Linked DNA regions of Diceros bicornis minor. The protein of the gene in region 1 purifies or fractionates together with the protein of each later gene. This does not show direct contact. Links are inferred from orthologs where the notes say so. Each region holds a gene or a part of one and is shown in the gene's direction. Other genes may lie near its edges.

Evidence for each region. The genes of interacting proteins can lie anywhere in the genome.
Region 2: the proteins of DCAF13 (region 1) and FBL purify together in Homo sapiens (affinity purification with western blotting; 3 studies listed by BioGRID, with this or other methods). This does not show direct contact. The link is inferred for Diceros bicornis minor from reciprocal best matches to the Homo sapiens genes DCAF13 and FBL.

The regions. Positions count from the first base shown.
Region 1 is NC_080760.1:21,525,845-21,533,445, forward strand, and holds the start of DCAF13 (DDB1- and CUL4-associated factor 13), read left to right. Parts: upstream 1-4,573; 5' UTR 4,574-4,651; coding exon 4,652-4,721; intron 4,722-7,601. Other genes in the region: SLC25A32 (mitochondrial folate transporter/carrier), read right to left, coding at 3,977-4,130. UniProt on the Homo sapiens protein: Part of the small subunit (SSU) processome, first precursor of the small eukaryotic ribosomal subunit.
Region 2 is NC_080773.1:13,614,214-13,621,319, reverse strand, and holds the start of FBL (rRNA 2'-O-methyltransferase fibrillarin), read left to right. Parts: upstream 1-4,101; 5' UTR 4,102-4,200; coding exon 4,201-4,210; intron 4,211-7,106.

The DNA.
Region 1 (7,601 bases):
TTCCCTAATTAGCTATACAGTCACAATCTCTCTGAGGTTCAGCATCCTCATGTATAAAATAGGGATAAAGATCACCTATGTCACAGGTTGTTATGAAGTTTATACAAGATAAGTTTCAGAGCAAGTAACATTTCTCTCAAGAAATGTTTTGCTGCGTACTTTACAATCTTTCTGATGCTTCCTGCCCCCGACAATTCCTATGTTGAAGCCCTAAGCAGGGCCTCCCTATCACTTAAGCTTCTGGTAGAGAGAACTACAATCTCAGCAGGGGCTTTCTCACCTCCACTGTGCCTCAATCCATTGCAATCTGGTTTGGACATCCACCCATTACTGCAAGTGCCCTAGTTAAAGACCTCAGAGTGTACTCGGGGAGTCCTCTCTTCCTTACTAACCCTTGAGCAGCACCTGACATTGTTTACCTCCTATAACACTCTTCTTTGGGCTAGTTTCACACCACAGTCTCCTGATTTTCCTTTTACTTCTTTGGCTACGAAATTTCCTTTGCAACCTCCTTCTCTTCTGCCCATCCTTTAAATGCTGATTTTTACAGGCAATCTGTCCCAATAGGGGAAGTCTCTCGATCACTAAGTCGCTGCAATCACGTCCCTGCACTATAGTTTTTACATCTTTAGTCCTGATCTTATTCCTAACATCTAGACCTGGCCTCATTTTTACATGGCATAAAAGATGTGTCAATCTGACAGCTTCTTAACTTTCTGGAATCATTTTCATTTCTACCTGTAGCATTTTACCCTTTAGCTATACCAAACTACCCACTTACGGTTTCACGCTAACAGCATATGCTATGGAATCAGATTTTCTGGGTTTGAATCCCAATTCTAACACTTCACTGTGTGACCCTGAGTCAGTTACTTGATTACTCCGTGCCTGAAGTTTCTGATCCATAAAATGGGAAAAATAGAACCTAACTAAAAATCACAAACAGTTAAGTGAGTTAATACATAAAAAGCCCTTAAAATCATGCCTGGCACGTAGCAAGCATTCAATAAGTATTAGTTCATTTATGTTACTGGGTCTTGCAAAACTATATACATACAAAACTGGACTGTAGGCTATTCTTGTTACCAGACTCTACACTTTGGTTCCTCGATTAACTTATGGATTATTAGGTTTTCAGATTATTTTATTTAAAAAAAAAATTTTTTTTTACTGAGGTCACTTTGGTTTATAACATTGTGTAAATTTCAGGTTATTTTAGAAAATCACTACTTTTACACCTCAGTCACGTTCTTTGTTGGGGCTCTCTCTCATCATTCTTGATGATTTAGAATTATATCTGAAAGTTAGAAGAAGCCTCAATGATCACGTAATCCCACCTTTCCACCCAATACAGGAATATCTTCTAACCTCTGTCATCCAACTTCTGAACCACTTCCAGTCATCACCAGTTTCATTTCTGAGCACCAACACTTTGCCAGGTCAAAATCTGCTTCCCTGTAATTTCCACCCAACCTCTCTCTGCCCTTTAGATCAACCCACAATAAGGCAGTTTCCTTTCCCACATGGCTGATCTCTAAACACCTTAAGTCCCACTCCACCTCCCATGCTAAACTAGCTCCTCCAGTCATTTCTCACATGAAATGATTTCTTTTGTTTTTTTTTTTTGTGTGTGAGAAAGATCAGCCCTGAGCTAACATGCATGCTAATCCTCCTCTTTTTTTTTTTGCTGAAGCAGACGGGCTCTGAGCTAACATCTATTGCCAATCCTCCTCTTCCCCCGCCCCCAAAGCCCCAGTAGACAGTTGTATGTCATAGTTGCACATCCTTCTAGTTGCTGTATGTGAGACGTGGCCTCAGCATGGCCGGAGAAGCGGTGCATCGGTGCGCACCTGGGATCCGAACCCGGGCCACCAGTAGCGGAGCGCGCACTCAACCGCTAAGCCACGAGGCCAGCCCTGACATGAAATGATTTCCAATCTTTCTATCACTCTGGACACCTCTGAGTTCCAATTTGAACTGAATTCACTGAAATATTCCAGGTTTGGTTTAACAGCACATTCAAGACTAACAACCCCTGTCACTAGATATTACAATTTTATTACAAGGGCTTAAATTTTATGAAAGTATAAAAACTTTAGCATTAATGCTGATGGGCAATCAACTATTTTGATTTCAGTTATTCATCTTCCTAAATTTTCCTCTTTTCTATCACCATTTCACAGCCACATTTTATGATTACAAAGTCCTGCTTTGACTCCTAGATCTTTAATTTTGTCTTCCCATCCAATCTCAATCAACTTATCTGTCACTTCAGCCCTAATACTCTCCCCATTTCATCAAGATTACCAATCTTCTCAGGAACCAAGAATTCTCTTTCTTCAGGCACGGTGTGCTTCACAGCACTGTTTAAACTCATCAGGCCAACCCCATTATTCCTCAGTGATCATCTCAACTGTCCCCCCTTCTGCTCCTAGACAAAACGCTGAAGAGAGACACCAAGTCATATAGGTCTGCATCTGCAGCCAAGTCCAGAATTCTTTTCTTCATGTTCAAGCAATTGTATACTAGGGATTTCTAGAGGTAGTATGGTGAGTGATTAAGTGCCACAGGGTTCTAGAGTTAGACTGCCTGGGTTCAAATCCTAGATCCGTCTTTACAAACTTGTGACTTGGGCCAGTTAGTCAATTTCTATTATCCTCATCTGTGCAACGGGGATAATAAATTCACAGGTTTGTTCAGAACAGTAAATTAGATAATGCACCTAAAGCTCTTAGTGCATTGCCTTGCTCCTAGTAAATGCTCAATGAATGTTACTTATCATAATTTTTATTTGTGCATACATCATAAACTCCATGGAAATTACATGCCTTTGTGGGTTTTCTTCTAGGGATAATACTCCATAATTTTCACTGATTTTCCTTCACAGAATGGCTTCTCACCTCCTCTCTGTCAAAATATTAGTCTTTCTACAGGGAATCTCAAGATCTGATGGAACCATCGGCAATTTATAATTTTGATAGTCTACCACTACTCATATTTTGGTATTTGGATTTATTCCATTTTGCCCTTGATTTTATGCCGTCTAGAATTATCTTTTATATGACTAAGTCTCAAGCCTCCAATTAGACTCTAAGTTCCCTGAGAGCAAGAACTTTGCTTAATGCTTCTGTATCTCACACAGCAGTCTAGAACTATTAAGAGAACAAAATATTGGGGAATAGAATTAATCTGACTCTTTAAGATAAACCACTTCTGCAGATCTAATCCTCAAGGCAGAACTTAACTCGTAGTAATAAGAAAACTGACATGCCAGAAGACAGTTTCCAAATAAAATTATCAGACCTTTGAAACTATCTTTTCCAGAATTTAGTGCTGAATTTATTCTAAACTACTTTGTTAATTTCAATATACTTAATTCACTTAACTCAGTGCACTTAATTCAATAAGCCTAAATAAAAAGCAAAATAGTATTTGAATTCCAGTGACTTATTCCTCCACAGGACCTTGTACCACACTATAAACGCCAAAAACAAACCTTCAAGGGAATCCTATCCCAAACCTACTCCCAACCACCTGCTGAAGATTACACCCTACCCCTGGCACTTGCCTTTTCCTCTCAGCCGCGCTGCCAAACACGTGGCTCCCCTAAGATTTCAAAGCACCCTCAAGGGTGAACGATTTGCACGTGTGAGGGCTAAGCCCTAAAATGTGACAATCCCTTTCTTATTTTACAAATCAGGCTCGGAATCCTACATTCTACACCAATAAGGACTTTTCTCAGACTTCTCTCTCCATCCCTTAGTCTTGGGGAACCGGGGCGACGGCGGCCACACCTCTTTACCAGGCTCCCCTTCCTCAAATCTAGTGCCAGGTGAGCCCGGACAAACAGCATCTTCTTCAACTCTTGCTTGGTTAGTATGAAGAGACAGGGGAGACCAAGGCTTCCTTTTGCGTCTTTATCCCCCAAATCGGGGTGGCAGCAAGGAGGAGCGCCGGGTCCTGAGCGGGCTCTTACCGGCGAAGCGGATCTTCACCAGGTCGAGCGGGTGCAGCGCGAGGTTGGACAGGACTCCGCCGCTCACGCCCGCTACCAGGTTCTCGTACCGGACGTGGCGGAATATCGTGCTCCACGCCGACGACCCGGACGCCGACTGGCCCTGACCCGTCATAGGCTCGGGGCCCGCTGATACCACCGCGCCTAGGGCCGCGGAGGTGGGACCAGATGCAGTGGCCGCCACCGTGAGGACGGTCGCCGCCCTGAAGCAGGAGACGCGGGACGCGAGCCCACTTCCGGGAGCGGTGCGCGGCCTCAGACGCCAGGGCACCGTCAAGAAGCCGAGAGCGCCAGGAGCAGCGGAGCAGGAGAGGCGCGCAGGCGTAGGTCACGCCGGCAGAGAGCGAAGGAGGCGGGGCGCCCGCCTCTGCCGAGGCCCCGCCCCGCCCACAGCTGCGGCCCGCTCGGGCGGAGGGACGCCGATGAGAAAGCACCGCTGGAGAACCGCCCCCGGCCAACCTGCGCAAAACTACGAAGCGCCGCAGGGTCCAACTGGATCGACCGGTTTCCACTCCGGGGAAGTCACGTGACAGGAAGTAGTCTAGAAGAAGCGGATGTGGCATGTGCCCGAGGAGGCGGAGGTAACCCGAACGCGGAGGGCGAGGCCGGTGGAGTCGGGGAGAACCGGCAGCAAAGATGAAGGTAAAGATGCTGAGCCGGAACCCGGACAACTACGTCCGCGAAACCAAGTTGGATTTACAGCGAGGTGAGACTAGTTAGTAGGGAGGCCGCCAGCCTTGGGTCTGGCCTCAGCTTCCACCGAGTAAAGCTGGGGGGAGGCTGGCTCTCCAGGCTCGCTCTTTTCGCCAGGGCTGACTTTGTGTGAATAAGGCCGTTGCGCGACTCGGTAGCCGACTTGTCTTCAAGTCCTTTTTCTAAGAATTTCTCTAGTGGTACGTGGGAAAGTTGGCTCTATGGCGAACGCTTCCGCCTCACCTCTTCCAGGTGCTGCTTTCTGATTGTTCTTGGGTTCCATTATTGAGAAGTGGAACTTGAATGAGCCAAACTCGTGGATTGAAGGATTTAACAGTTAAATAGGCTTCTTGAAGCCTTCCTGCTGCTCTAACTTCCGGCCACTTTACTACTTAAAATTACGTATTTCGGGATGTGGAAAGAGACAAAGATGAAACTTAAAGCCATCAGTTTTCTCTTATCAACAGCTGTTGGAATTGGGAATGGATAAAATGAAATTGAGTTTTATTTATCCGTGACTGGTCTGTTCCCCCATTAACATGCTGACTGCTGATGAATTATAGTTTATGATATCTGAATGACAAGGGACCAACCATATATGAACAGAGTATTCTAAGTGAAGGGTATAACAAGTTCAAAGGCCTTAAGGCAAGTATGACTTAAGGCATAACAGAAGGGCCATGTCGTCAGTTGGAGTAAGTGATAGAAGACGAACGAGGCTGGAACAATATTTCGCTGTTTTGATTGAGTAGTAGTTATCAACATATATGTGAGCATAGCTAAGAAGTAAATATATGGCCTCTACTCAAAAGATGTTTACAGGTTAAGTAACAAGACAGTAACGTTTCTAACATATAAATTAGGTTGTGTCACTTGGACTTGACATCATCCCTACTCCTTGAACCTGGTCCCATCTTCCTCTCTGGTTTCACCAGTCACTACTTTTCCCGCAAGTAGCTCACGTTTACTCTCGCGAATCTGAGTGCATTTCAGGCATTTTCTTTCAGGCATCCTGTGGCGCTCACCCTTACCCAATTTCTCTCCTTCCTCTGGGAAGCTTTCTCTGAACAATAACCTTTTCATACCCCCCCCCCATTTAAGCACCCCTCCTCTGTTTTTATCACGTGTTTTTGTACTGATATCAGAGTGTTTATCACATTGTCTCATGGTTATTATTTTGATTATCAGTCTTTTCCATCAGACAGCCTGCGGAGAGGAGTAGAATCATATTTCTTTCTATATCTGCTGTGTTTAGACAGCACCTGGCACATAGTAGTTGCTTTATAAATGTCTATATGAGGGAATGAGTGAGTGACTGGCTGGTCATAGAATCCCAATGTTAGAAGGTTATTAGTCATCTGATCTTGTTAAGGGTCTTATTTTCTATAACATCTTCCTATTCTTTATCTGTCTGAGGAAAGGTTAATGGATAGCAAAACGGAACAATAGAAGTAGTGGAACTCTTTAAATCATAAAATTAAAAAGACATTTGTTGTCTTCCTTTGTTTTTTCATTCTTGTTTAGGTTTTATTTCCTTGTAAATTTTGTGCAGTGTTCAAATATTTATTTGAGTATTCTGATTCATAAACCCAGGGTAGGCATCAGGGAAACTGTATTTTTAAAACTCCCTTGGCAATTCTGACGTAGGTCGTTAACATACAGATCTGTGAGAACAGCCTACATAAGTACATGCCATCAGTTTGTTAGCTGTGGTATCCTCGTAGCCTTGTGACATATTGCAGGTGTTCCATATATATTTATTGAATGTTTATTGTTGACTGAGTGTATGAATTTAGAGGGAGGCGTGGTTGTGGTGATTTGAAAAACTTGATAGAAGACATGAGATTTAAGCTGAATATTTTTAAAGGATTCATGGGTTTTAGATAGGTTAGGATGAATGTTGGCGTATGTTCTTATTGGAAGAAATGGCTTCTGCAAGGATTCAAGAGCGGGAAAGTGCTAGGCAGTTTTAGGTGACAGTGAATAAACCAGTTTGGCTGTAGCTGAGTTTCAGCAAGTACTACTTGGAGCTGAAGAGGTAGGTTGAGACCAGATTGTGGAAGACCAGAAAGGAGCTTGAACTTCATTGCATTGGTCAGAGGTCTCTAAAATGGAGGTACTAGGCTACCCATTGCAGAGTGGCAAAAAACAATTAATACTTCAATTTATATTTCTTATATTAAAAAAATAATGTTTACTTTAATAAAACTTACACTGACACTGACATCCTTGTTTCGGCTCTATGTTAAATACGTAATCACATGTTTTATGTGGTACTTCAGGTATCCCAAGAAAAGACTGGAGGGTTGACAAAGGTGTGCCTGCTTCCGCCTTCAGAATATTGTAGCATATCGCAGTTTACATTTATTGGGGGATTCTGTTATTTTAAATCATAGAATCTTTATAATAATTTGTAAAGTGTTGGAGAGGGACCATGAAAATCTTTTTTCCTGCAGAGGTGATATCGTTGTAAAGTTCTTAGAAGAGCTGTGGAGCATGACCATGAATTAAGAATTTTTAAAATTAGCTAAACATTTTGTGGCTGTGAAGACTGGGTAGCAGTTTTTATTTTGAAAATAAAAAATACATAACCTGCAACTTTAAGGTCCCTTTTAGTGATTAATTTTCAAAAAATCTTGTGCTATGATCATTCTGAAAATGTATATTTGGAAATGTTCCCATCATTTAAAAAATTTTGTACTGAAAATGGTGGAAGTGTCATGTGTAAGAATTCATTTTTGCCAACATGAAAAAATTGGTAAAAAGAATGATCTACCTTGTTGTTTTTTTTGGGTTTTTTTTGGTGAGGAAGATTAGCCCTGAGCTAACATCTGTTGCCAGTCCTCTTTTTGCTGAGGAAGATTGGCCATGGGCTAACATCCGTGCCCGTCTT
Region 2 (7,106 bases), on another chromosome or scaffold:
CTGGCACGCCCAGAGAAGGAATGGTAGCTCCGCGCTGCTTCCCCCATTCCTTGCCCTTCGCATCTCTTCCATTTGGCTGTTCCTGAGTTGTATCCTTTTTCCTGAATCTTATAAGCTGTTCCAGCAAATTGTTGAACAGAGGAAGGGGTCGTGGGCTCTCCTGATTTATAGCCAGAAGTATGGGTGGCCTGGACTTGCCATTGGTGTCTGAAGTGGGGGCAGTCTTGTGGGGCTGAGCCCTTAACCTGTGGGGTCTGCGCTAACTCCGGGTAGTGTCCAAATTGAACTAAATTGTAGGACGCCAGTTGGAGTCTGCAGAGAATTGGAGAATTGCTTGGTGTGGTAAACTCATGCATTTGGTGTCAGAAGTGAAGTGTGTAAGTACAGAAACACTTTTCTTATACAGCATATGAAGTAACAGGGACAGTTGGATGGCAGATATGGCGATGGGAGGATATTAAAGTTTTCTTGTGATTACTTCTATCTTCTCATTCAAGTGGGAAGCAAAGTCATCATCTAAGAGTAAGAAAGGAGGAGAAGGTTCTGAGGTTTAATGAGAAAGGAGAAAGTGTAAAATAATCCTTCAAGCAAGTCCAACCACTTTGGAAAATAGTGTGTCAGTTTCTTAAAAAGGTAAACATACTCTTACCATATGACTCAGCCATTTGACTCCTAGGACTCTTCTCAAGAAAAATGAAATCACATGTCCACACAAATATTAACACATGAACGTTCATGGCAGCATTATTCATAATAATCAAAAACTGGAAACAAATCAAATGCCCATCAATAGATGAATGGATAAACAAAATGTGGTGTATCCATACAATGGAATCCTCAGCAATAAAAAGGAATGAATGACTGATACATGCAACAACATGGAACATGATGCTAAGCGACAAAAGCCAGACACCAAAGACTACATATTGCATGATTCCATTTGTATGAAATGGGATAATGGAATTGTTCTGAAACTGGATCGCAGTGATGGTCGCACGACTGTATGAGTTTACTAAAATTCATTGAACTGTGCACTTAAAACAGGTGGATTTTATGGTATGTGAATTATGCCTTAACAAAGCATTTAAAAGTTAACACATGTTACCAATACTACCAATTGGGAAAAAAATAAAATGGGAGACTGAGTGGATTAGGGACATGTGATAGGATGGCTGGGCAGCACTAGGGCCCATCGGGTTTGTGGTCATGAATCCAAAGTGAGACCAGCCAGAGTGGGTGTGAGTTTTTCTCCATCCACATCCAGCTGCCAGGGTGCAGGTGCAGGGGAGGTGGACAGTGGACTCAACTGGGTGAAAAAGACAAAGTTAGAAAAGAGCACATATTGTGAAGGTGTGAGCAAGGGAGTGGTGATCATGATGGATGGGGACTCAGGCTGGGTGGTGGGAGTGGTATGGTCATGGGGAGGTGAGGGACAGGGAAAAGGCAGTCAGCTAAATGAACTGGTGGAGCTGAAGGATCATTGGAGCAATAGCTCTAGAGGGAGTGGGCTAGAGAGACAGGAGGCAATGGGCAGACAGTGAGATGCATGGATCTGAGATTCTGCAGAGTGTCAACCTAAAAGGAAAATTTGGCTGTTATTTTACCCTCAAAATGAGTTTATTCAGGAATAGCCAAAAGAATTGCAATTTGGGATGTGCACACTATGGTGAACCATAGGCAAATCCAGAAAACAAAGGAAAGAAGCTCACTTTTGTACAGAAAAAGGAGTGGGGAGGGGCTGTTCTAAAGGAAAGTCCATTGGGAGAAAGTAACAGTTCAGGGTGGCAATGGCTTCTCACTGGCGGTTCTCATTGGCTGGGCTGTTGCCGGGTGGGGAGAAAAATCTTCCTTCAGTAGTACAGTAATTGTACTTCCTGTCGGAGATGCAAGCTAAGCCATTTCCTGTTTGAAATAATTAATGATATATGCTAGGGCATGAGAGCGCCCCCTGCAGGCCTTCCAGACTCCAATTTAGTTGAGGTTTCCTTTCTTATTTTGCACAAAGGGCTGCAGTTTTGGAGTTGTCACTATCTGGGGACTGGTCTTTCTCCCTCATCGTCACCATTGTGTCCCCAGCACAAAGTCTAGGTGTGACCGTGGGAAGGAAGGGTTGGGTGGAGGACAAGATCACTAGAGGAGAGGAGATTAAGGCATAGAGAGGCCAGAACCGTCCCAGAAGCATCAACCTGAATATGGAAATCACCAAGAATTATGATCAGAGCAGCTTGAGTGGCAGTGAGCCTGGAGCCAAAATGATGAAGTGAGCTGGGAGTTGATAGAGCTAGCAGCAAGAATGAGAGCAGGTGCTATAGTATAAGGTTCAAAATTAGGGGCTTAGGGAGGAGGCAGAGAGAAAGGCAAAGAGCAAGGAGGAGAAAACAGCTCCTGCTTGGAAGGGCTGCACAGAACGGCATGTCTTCAGGGGAGAGCTAGGTTGTGGTTAGAGCAGGAAGGTAAAAGGAAGGCTCAGAGGGAGCTGAGGATATGAGAGATATAGGGAAAAGCCCTCAATGGCTCCCCCTCCCAGCCCTGACCATTCTGCCTGTACCTCCCCCATTCTGGCCCTCACCACTCTGGGTTGACACTGTCTGAGACCTGTCTGTCTCCCCCACTGGACTGGCAGTTCTAGGAGGGCAAGGCATGGGACTCTTTCAGTCACCATTGTGTCCCCAGCACAAGACCAGCTGGTGGGGCCAGCCTGGTGGCATAGTGGTTAAGTTCACACACTCTGCCCCAGCAGCCCGGGGTTTGCGGGTTCAGATCCCAGGCACAGACCTACACACTGCTCCTCAAGCCATGCTGTGGCGGCGTCCCACATACAAAATAGAGGAATACTGGCACAGATGTTAGCTCAGGGACAATCTTCCTCACACACACAGGAAAAGACCAGCCGGCACCCACTAACTACTCACTGATAGTGCCAATTTCAGGTCTGCAGAGCAAGTTGGCAGGTGAAATACCTCAGAGCCAGGAAATGGTGCCAGGATTCCAGAAAATAGGGCTGGCAACCCTAAATCTGCACTGTAGCCTGACTGTTTTTGTCCTTTAGAAAAAAAAATGTTTTAATTGGAAGGCAAACAGTAAAAGCCATAAGAAGTAGGTAACATCCTCCTGAATTGGAGCCATTTGAAGTACTATGCAGCTCCTGGATATCCAGAATAGACTCAGCAGATTTTCCATCTTAATATTTAAACAAATTTTCAGGAATGTTTCTGTACGGCTGGAACACCCTGCACAGAGAATGTAAAACAGCATGGGTTCATTCATTCATTCAACAGACATTTACTGAGCACTCACTCTGTGCCAGGCTCTGTTCTAGGTACTGAGTGATACAGCAATGAATGGAACAGACTAGTGGACTCTCCTGGAGGTTTTAAGGAATTTTTCATAGTAGCATTTGTTTTGCTTTGTGGAATGAATATAGGCATGAATGTTAATTTATAAAATTACAAATCACAAAATTCTCAATACTTATGCAGAATCTGCTCACTCCTTTACCTCCTTTTAGCTCTTTGCTCAAAAGTCACCTGATGCGTTCCTTGACCACCCTACGAGAAATGTCACTCCCTCCACACACAACACACACCAGTCCCTATCTCCCTTCCCTGCCTTCTAATAACTTGTTTGGCGTCTGTTTCTCCCATTAGAAGACGAGCTCCAGGAGGGTGGGGATTTTTATGTCTTGTTCACTGCTGTATTCCCAGCGCCTAGCATAGTGCCGGGGACATACAAGGCGCACAATAAATGCTTTTCGAGTGTATGAATGGGAGCCCAGAGTCGGTCGGTCCCTGTTCTTGGGGAGTGGAAATGGATCACAAAGGCTTTTGGGTGTAGAGGGGACCTTTGGGAGCTAACGAGGAATAGAGAAGAGGGGCCGAGGGCACGGCCCGTGCGAAGGCTGGGAGATGATCCCTCTTTACCGGGGTGCTCGAACCGGTGATGGGGAAGCGGGAAGTGTGTTTAGGGTACCGATCGCTGCACAGGTCAAAACAGCGTGGAGAGCGACGAGGCTCGGGAATCCCCGCCCACAGCACAGGCGCCGGGCTCCGGGCGGAGCTGGCCTCCGAGGGGCGGGGCTGCGTGGTTGCGTCACGCCCCGTACGTCGCCGCGCGCGTGCGCTCTTTTCCACGTGCGAAATCCCCGGGCTCGTGGAGTTCCGGACGCGGCAGGCTCGTGAGCCGGGCAACTCCGCTCTCGCCATGAGGCCAGGTGCGGCCAGGGTTGGGGTCGAGGGTCAGGGACTGGGGCCTGGCGGGAATCGGGGTCCCAGGCCGGAATCGGAGTGGGGGGTCCTTGGCCTCAGGGCAGGGGTTCTGGGCTCGGATCCGGTCTCGTGTGGGGAGGGGGAGGTCACGGTCGTGAGTCCCTGGAACTGGAGGGTCCTGAACTGGGATTCATCTCACTGAGGCCGTCGTTAGGGGTCTTGGACATTGGGCCGGGGGCGGCAGTCGGGGATACTGACCCAGAGTCTGGATCCAAGCGTTTGGGGTCTGGGATCTCTGGGCATGGGTTTGGGAACATGTCTTGGTTTGGAGGTGGCGAGTCCCTCGTGCTGGGTCTGCGAGGCCCCCGTTTGCCTCCCGTATCGCCGCCGCTCCCACCGTCCCCTTAGCCCCCAACCCAGCTTCTCAGAGAGGGCCGGAGTGGATGAGGACTCCCGCCTTATAGCGTGTGGCCCTGTCTGGCCCACGTTCCCGCTCTCGACTCTTCCGAGGAGGCGGGTCCCTGAGGATGGAGTAGAGATCCTGGGCCTAGTGATTCTCAACTCAGCGGTGAGATGAAACTTCACAAGCCCAGGATAGGATTAGCGTGGGGGAGGGGGGAGGTAGTCACAGGGCATAAGTGCTTTTATCCTTTCGATTTTCCCTGAGATTCTGATGAACCCACCCCACCTCCCTCATGGTGTAATGATGAGAGCCTTGGCTTTGACAGCTGAAGGGTCTCGGTTCAAAGTTTCAATCCTGGCTCTGCTTCTTAACCTACTGTGTGACCTTGGGCAAATGGCTTTACCTCTCAGAGCCTCAGTTTTCTCAGCAATAAAATGGCTCCCAGTTATAATTTAGTGAGATCATGTTAACAAAAAATAATACATGGTGGTAATCATTTCACAGTGTAGAAGTGTATCAAATCAACAGGTTGTACATCTTAAACTTAGACAATGTTGTATGTCAATTATGTCTCAATAAAGCTGGGGAAAAAATAGCACAGGGCTTGCCATATAATAGTATTGGCTCTAATTGTTATCTTTATCTTCTCAAGGGGAACAAAATTAGGGTCTTTCTCCCTGGTGTCTCAGCTCTTCCTAAGTCAGGCCATACCCCTCCCCACAACTTTCTCCACTGGAGCTGAGGAAATCTTCCACTGTGATCAAACGGGTCTATTTTCCTAGTACAGGTTTTCTTTTTTCTTTTTTTTTTGTTCTGGTGTGCGGAGAGATGGGGTCATTGCGGGGGTGGGGTTTGTGAATCCATGCCCCCTCCCAGGCTCTCTTTCTCTTCAATGTTCAGGGAGCTACTGATGAAGTGGGGTGGGAGGTGCCAGGCTCTGTATGTCCTGAGACCCTGGTATCCCTGCAGGCACCCTGTGGTCTGATTCCCCCCAGGAATGGAGGATACACCTTCCTCCCAACCCTTCCTCCGTTGCGTTAGGATATGAAGTGGTAAAAGTAAATCTACCAGGTTTCAGGAATCGGCTCTGCGGGAATGATTTTAGTCTGAATGAGAGGAAGCCTTTGGGAGATGTTGAGCAGGGATGCTGTCAGTTAGACTTGATTGACACTTTTAAAAGGATCCCTCTTGCTTCTGTGTGTATAAGACTTTTGGGGAGCAAGAGTGGACATGGGCACATGGGTGGAAGTTTGGTGCTGTAGTCTACTAGGAGATGATGTGGCCTGGACCAGGGTGAGAGCAGTGGACCTGATTGACAAATCGTCATGATTTGGGAATATATTTTGAAGACAGAGCCAACAGCTTGTATGTGGGTGTGAGCTAGAGGAATTAAGGATAACTAAGGGCTTTTGCGTGTGTAGCTGGAAGGATGGAGTTGCCGTTTTTGAGATGGGCACAGCTGTGGGAGGAGAGCAGCTTTAAACCAGGGGGTCTGTGGACCCTCCACCAAAAACTTCTAGAAAAATGTGTGTGAATATGTGTTTTTCTGAGCAATGGGTACTTTGAGTACCTTTTTCTAAGAGCCCCAGGACCTGAAATGGATTAAGCTATGCTTTGAGTATCTGGGACTGCAAATTTACCTTCGTGCCCATTGTCCCCCATGCCGTGCCCACACTTCCCAGGTCTCTGTTCCTCGGGCCTGGGTTGAGAACCTCTTAGGCCTAGTGGTTTCTTCCTAAGTAGGAGGGAGGGGGGACTCATTCCCCCGAGTTTGAATAATTCAAACTGTGTGCCAGGCAAACTGTGTGCCAGGCAGTGTATTAGGTGAAGTGCTTTGTGTGTATTAAGTCATTTACTCTTGACAACTCCCTGAGGTGAGCACTGTGTTATCTCCATATCTCCGTCTTATAGGTGAAGTTTTCAAGACTCCCACAAACCTTCCCTGCTCTCTAGGGTCGTGAATTGCGTGGCCATCTCGCTGGATGGACTACATGAGCTGCTTGAGGGGAGGGGCCAGGGCTCTGGTCACCATCTGATCACCTGCTTTCTGAATGAACAGAGAGGGTGCTCTCTGCAGGAGCAGAGCCCAGGGATCTAAGGGTTATCACAGACAGCTCATTGAATGTTTACCAAGCCCCTGCTTGGTGTCAGGTGTTGCGCACGGTGCTGGGGATGCTGCGCTGACCAAAACAATTAAACATGCCTGTCTCTTTGGAGCTTGATTCTGGTGGAGGAGGCAGGCGGTGATAATATTAAAAACGCCGTGTGTGGTCATCGATAGGAAGAACGAGCAAGCACGGGAAAGGTGGGGTAGCAGAGAAGGCCTGTCTGAGGAAGGAACATTTAATCAGAGACCTGAGTGCAGGGAAGGAGGTGGGCCTAGCACGTGTCCACAGGAGCCAGGCAGGGGGACAGCAGATGTTAAAGCTTTAGATGCCGGAGAGCGAGTTTGTTCTTGGAGAGGAAGAGCGTGGGGCCCAGGATAGAGAGAGCGCAGT